Linked DNA regions of Kluyveromyces lactis. The protein of the gene in region 1 binds, or shares a complex with, the protein of each later gene. Links are inferred from orthologs where the notes say so. Each region holds a gene or a part of one and is shown in the gene's direction. Other genes may lie near its edges. The genes, in order: RSM28 and MRPS9.

Region 1 (3,079 bases):
GTTTACGTACGGTGCCTACAGTGCACATTGTAATTCCTAAGTTTACATCTATATATACGTTCGTGTGTGTCATCTGACTCATATTAGGTTCCATCCAATTATTTTTTCGTTGTCATATATATTTCATTCCATTAGTTATGTATGACCGATAGAGAACGACATGGTCAAAGCTATTGGGGAAAACAGAAAGTGCTAAGCTCGATTTAACTGAACCATTATGAACACCTCGCATTCGCAGGAACCTAAGGACAGAAGTGTGAAAATTTCGAAAGCATTGGCTTATTTGCTGAGACATGGTGCTGTGAAGGAAAACTTGCCTATAGATTCTGATGGTTACATTGCATTGGATAGAATACTGCAGCATAACAGACTCAAAAGCTTGAAAGCAACGTCAACAGAAATACAGCATATTGTTGCTAGTAATGACAAGCAACGATTTCATATCAAAACTGATCCGAATACAGGGATAATGTACGTCTGTGCAACACAAGGACATACATTGAAGCAAATTGCTCCATCGCAACACGTTTTAAAACCAATTACCAACATAGAACAACTATCAAGTAAATTGGTTCATGGCACCAACGTATCAAACTGCATTTCAATTCTTCACTCAGGTTTCATCAAAAAAATGTCACGGAACCATGTTCATTTGTCTCCCGGCATTACTGGAAAAGATACGGATGTCATCAGTGGAATGAGAAGTTCTAGTAACGTTTACATCCATATCAAAAGGATCCAGGAAATGCTAGACAGCCTCAACCTTGTGAAATCATTAAATAATGTTTACCTAACTTCTCAGGACATACCGTTGAAATTTATTGATTTCATCCAAGTACGGAAAGGCAGATCTGCAGCATCTAGTGAACAACTTCAACAGCTAAAAAAGTTGGCTACAGAGATGAAAGTTCCAATCGAGATTATCTGAAACGACTTGATCGCTTTATCTATACATATATATATCACCTCTTAATAATTAATTGACTTGTTTTAGACTTTCCACTGACAACATCAATTTTTAGACGAGGCATATCGCTGTATGTACTCGCCGTTGTATTAAGTTCATATCAAAACGTCAGAACCCACCGAATGTTGTATTCCTTCTGTCATCATAAGAAATTTAGATCACGTGTGTTTTTATCATTTTGAACGCCTTGAAAATTTTTGATCTTTCATAAAACCTATGAGAGTGCGAAACTCGTTTCAGTATGATGAACTTGATTAGTTCTTATGGTATCACGGAGATATTTAGGTATAGGGTTGTAATAAACCAGGTAACGCTATATCAAGTTGTGATCTGTTTAAGTGTGTGACTAGCATTAATATATTTACTTAATAATGCTAGCTTCTACATTCTCTAAAAGGGCTTATAGCTCTGTCTCTCCGGACTTTTTAGCATCAGTTTTGCAAAGAGTGAAGGAAGTTCCTATCAAGGCAAGAGAACCACGTAAACCAAGATCTGACAGAAAGGTGAGGTCAGCTGGGAGGGAAGATAAGAGACAAACAGCAAGATTTGATGACAGATCCGGAGGAAATAAACCCAGGGATAATAGACAAGTCCGTAATGGTCAAGACCGTGGTGGTAAAAATTTTAGAGAAAGAACACAAAGAACGGATACTAGAGGAACCAATGGCCCGGTAGTACAAACAGGTACGGCTAAAAGACAGACACCAAAGATTACCGGTACTAATGAGTATAGTGAGATTTCAGGCAAAGTTCAAAATTTGGGTACCAGACAGAATCGTAGAAGCGATGAAAGGAAAACTCGTAAAACCGTTCCAGGGTTGAAAATTTCCAGTAATTTGGGATCGGAAAACGTTGTGCAAAATATTCACAACTCGGCTGTATATGTTCCACAAGATCCAACACCGTTATCGTTGCTAAGATACAGACCTGCTCTGGCTCCAACTTTCAGTGCAAGGACATTCAGATATGCAGTTTCAACACTAAAAGACGCCGACTTCCCTGTGCATCGTTCATTGAATGATGGTGTCACAATTAATGGAAAGAACGTCAGTAAGCGTATGACAGCGAACAAAGACAACTTTGGTGAATACGTGCCAGCTTCCATTTTGAAATTGCAGGTGGAACCGTTGACAAAAAACATCCAAATTTCTCCGGATCTAGAAAAACTTGAGCAATCCGTCAAGGGTAGTTTCCACATTCTCAAGCCATACACAAAGAAGGACTTTGCCAAACTAACAAAAGCAGAAGACAAAAGAGAGCAACTTCTGCAAAATAGCGAAATTGTGAGAAAGAGTTTAGAACAAAGCAACTTGGCTTCAACTGAAAAAGAACTTTTGCAAAAAGTCTGTTCCGGTTTGGCACCAGTCTCTGAATTGACAGCTTGATTACAAGCCAGATCGCCTATAGACAAGATTAACCTCTATTTTTCATGTATATATTTTCACAATGCACTTAATGATATATCACACTATTTCACAGTTCTAAACAACGTTCGATATTGTTTATATTCTGAGTACGATGCCTTAAAATTCCTTTCTTAATCTGTAGATTATATGTTGATTCGTCTTTTCGTCTGAGTAACGGAAATAGGAAACCCGATAACACTGATATTTGAATGGTTGGGGGTATTTTTTCCAAAATTTCTATAAGTAGCCCAGAGTCGTTTATACAACACGTATTCTTGTTAAGGAATTGACTAATGACCCTAGTATTGTTGAGACTTAGATAGTGATCGATAACTTTCAGCACTACCTTATCGTTGGCTTGTAACAAGGACTCCACCGTAGCAAAATCATTCCGTGATAAATATATATCAAGTAGTTTTTCGAACCCGATCTTTTCCTTTAATACACTGATATCTGTGATCATGATTCGTAGAACGAAAGAAGCATCGATATCATCAATAATAGAACCTTCTTTTATATTTAAAGCCTTTTCTATTTTCAGAAGCTTGGTCCCTACATCGAAGCAACCCTCATATTCCTTTTTCTCACCCAGCTTATTTTTCAAATACTCTTTGAAAGGAGACTTGTTATATGTCATGTTGGTAATGTACTCCGTAATTGGTAAATTGGAACTTTCTATTAGCTTGCTGTTCAAAACAGTAAGTTT
Region 2 (3,123 bases), on another chromosome or scaffold:
TGGCCGCATCTATCCCAGAAACTCAAAAGGGTGTTATCTTCTACGAAAACGGTGGTGAATTGCAATACAAGGACATCCCAGTTCCAAAGCCAAAGGCTAACGAACTTTTGATCAACGTCAAGTACTCCGGTGTCTGTCACACCGATTTGCACGCATGGAAGGGTGACTGGCCTTTGCCAACCAAATTGCCATTAGTTGGTGGTCACGAAGGTGCTGGTGTCGTTGTTGCTATGGGTGAAAACGTCAAGGGCTGGAAGATTGGTGACTTCGCTGGTATCAAATGGTTGAACGGTTCTTGTATGTCCTGTGAATACTGTGAATTGTCCAACGAATCCAACTGTCCAGAAGCTGACTTGTCCGGTTACACTCACGACGGTTCTTTCCAACAATACGCTACTGCTGATGCCGTTCAAGCTGCCAAGATCCCAGTCGGTACTGACTTGGCTGAAGTTGCTCCAGTGCTATGTGCTGGTGTCACCGTTTACAAGGCCCTAAAATCCGCCAACTTGAAGGCCGGTGACTGGGTCGCCATCTCTGGTGCTGCTGGTGGTCTAGGTTCTCTAGCTGTCCAATACGCCAAGGCCATGGGTTACAGAGTGTTGGGTATCGATGCTGGTGAAGAAAAGGCTAAGTTGTTCAAGGACTTGGGTGGTGAATACTTCATTGATTTCACCAAGTCCAAGAACATCCCAGAAGAAGTCATCGAAGCTACCAAGGGTGGTGCTCACGGTGTCATCAACGTCTCTGTCTCCGAATTCGCTATCGAACAATCTACCAACTACGTCAGATCTAACGGTACCGTCGTATTGGTCGGTCTACCAAGAGACGCCAAGTGTAAGTCCGATGTCTTTAACCAAGTTGTGAAGTCCATCTCCATTGTCGGTTCTTACGTCGGTAACAGAGCTGACACCAGAGAAGCCATTGACTTCTTCTCCAGAGGTCTAGTCAAGGCTCCAATCCACGTCGTTGGTTTGTCCGAACTACCATCCATCTACGAAAAGATGGAAAAGGGTGCTATCGTCGGTAGATACGTCGTCGACACTTCAAAATAATGAAATCTCTTCCGCATTCAAGTCATGACTTTTTTCACCTTTTATATGTTTCCCTCCTCTCTCCGTTTATATAAAACATATCTGATCATTACTTCCCACTTATTCCGCCTGGTGTAGTGCTACTAGATCAATCCAACTTTATAATAAATCATTTTATAGACCTTCAAAATGAGACACGATATAATACTTTAATTCTTTAGCTCTTTTATAATAATTCTTACCACCCAAAAAAAAGGGAACTAATAACACCATTATACCATTACAGTACACATTGCGACCATCACCCTTAAGGTGAATACATCTGACCCCTAAAACAACTGGTACGTTCCAACTAGCTGACCTCTTAAGTACATCGACAATGTTCGCTTCGACCATCACACTGTACGAGTTGAAGTTCCATGTCTAACTCTGTATACATTGTCACTGGGAGCGAGCCAGACACGGATCTGCATTTCTAGATTGAAAAACTGAGAAAGTGAAAAATTTGGAAAGCTCAACCAGAGGTAGAGATAGAGATAGAGACAGACATAAATTAAGCTGAGCAGTCTTTATCTTAGTCGCCTGAGGTCTTTCGTGAGCAGTTTCCACAGGGATAGAAGGGGAGACTAAAACCAAAGATCAGAAAAATGTTCTCACGTTTAACTGGTGTCTCTTTGAGACAGGGTCTTACGGTACAGAAAAGACTATTCTCTTATGCCAGGCCATTGTTTAACAGCTCGGGGTCTGAGAGGACCGGTTCTGGTTCAAGGCAGTACAATGATGGCGCCCGTGCTGGTGCAGAATATGGTTACACAGGGACTAGAATTGTGCCTAAGTTGTCTACTTTTTACTCCGCCAACCCACATCACGAAGCTCATATCGATAACTTAGAAGCGTTGTTGAGGAAATATATCAAATATCCTACCGTCCAAGTGGAAGAAAGGCCTTCCTGGTTGAGTTTGCAAGAGTACGCTCTAATAGGTGGTGGGTCCCGTTTGAAATCTACCCAGTATAAGCAGCTTTTGTTCATGTTGAACCGTTTGAATTCTATTGATCCACAGTTGGTTACCGATGAGATTTCGAACACTTTAGCGAAATACCATAAGAAGACGAAGTTGCAACCTCAAAGAGATACTTTGAAGCAATTAGACGAGTTTGGTAGAAGTTTGGCCATCGGAAGAAGAAAGACCTCTACTGCCAAGGTATATGTGGTTCGTGGTGAAGGTAAGATCTTAGTTAACGACCGTCAATTAAACGATTACTTCGTTAAAATGAAGGACAGAGAATCCGTAATGTATCCATTAAAAGCCATTGACAGTGTTGGCAAATATAACGTCTTTGCAATGGTTTCCGGAGGTGGTATTACGGGGCAAGCCGATGCCTTGATGCATGCAATCGGTAAGGCATTGGTTGCTTTCAACCCACTATTGAAAACTAGATTGCATAGATCCGGTGTCTTGACAAGAGATTACAGACACGTCGAAAGAAAGAAGCCTGGTAAGAGAAAGGCAAGAAAGATGCCTACCTGGGTTAAGCGTTGATCTGATATTAGTCTCTGACCTTTCCATTAAAAAAAACACATGCTTGTTTCACAAGTCCTGTACATATATAGCAATTTTACATAATTTAACAAGCTCCTTTCACCTTTTACTCTGTCGTCCTACGTTAGCATCTCGTAGTTCCATTAGTCGTAGTTTCAAAAAATCTTGTAGATCCTTGTTCTTCCTTGTTCGTAGTAACATATCTTCAGACGTAACAACATTTCTGTTAGCATGTTGGGCAAAAGCTTCCAAATCACCACCAACCTCACATATCTGCTGGTAAACCAGTTCAGTAAGAGTGTTGACATATTTTGAATTGTATTTTACATCTTCTGGTAGTTCTCTTTTGATAATCGATTCCACATAGAACCACAGCTTCCCGCGTAACTGGGATCGTAATCTCTTCTCTTCATCCATATTTGATCAACTGAACGACGCTACCATGAATAGAGCCCACAGGACAATGCCAAGTCAGGAATTGCCAGCTCAAAACTCTAAACGAACTGCTCAATCGATTGTAATCTTGTATATCTTGCATATCTTGGATATCT

The links.
Region 2: RSM28 (region 1) and MRPS9 share a complex: the UniProt entries of both Saccharomyces cerevisiae proteins name them as parts of the mitochondrial small ribosomal subunit. The link is inferred for Kluyveromyces lactis from reciprocal best matches to the Saccharomyces cerevisiae genes RSM28 and MRPS9.

The regions. Positions count from the first base shown.
Region 1 is NC_006039.1:1,053,292-1,056,370, reverse strand, and holds RSM28 (mitochondrial 37S ribosomal protein mS46 RSM28), read left to right. Parts: upstream 1-1,338; coding exon 1,339-2,352; downstream 2,353-3,079. Other genes in the region: TPT1 (tRNA 2'-phosphotransferase), read left to right, coding at 218-928; CORVET complex subunit VPS3, read right to left, coding at 2,441-3,079. UniProt on the Saccharomyces cerevisiae protein: Component of the mitochondrial ribosome (mitoribosome), a dedicated translation machinery responsible for the synthesis of mitochondrial genome-encoded proteins, including at least some of the essential transmembrane subunits of the mitochondrial respiratory chain.
Region 2 is NC_006042.1:1,962,952-1,966,074, forward strand, and holds MRPS9 (mitochondrial 37S ribosomal protein uS9m), read left to right. Parts: upstream 1-1,678; coding exon 1,679-2,572; downstream 2,573-3,123. Other genes in the region: KLLA0_F21010g (zinc-dependent alcohol dehydrogenase), read left to right, coding at 1-1,052; MHF1 (Mhf1p), read right to left, coding at 2,672-2,989. UniProt on the Saccharomyces cerevisiae protein: Component of the mitochondrial ribosome (mitoribosome), a dedicated translation machinery responsible for the synthesis of mitochondrial genome-encoded proteins, including at least some of the essential transmembrane subunits of the mitochondrial respiratory chain.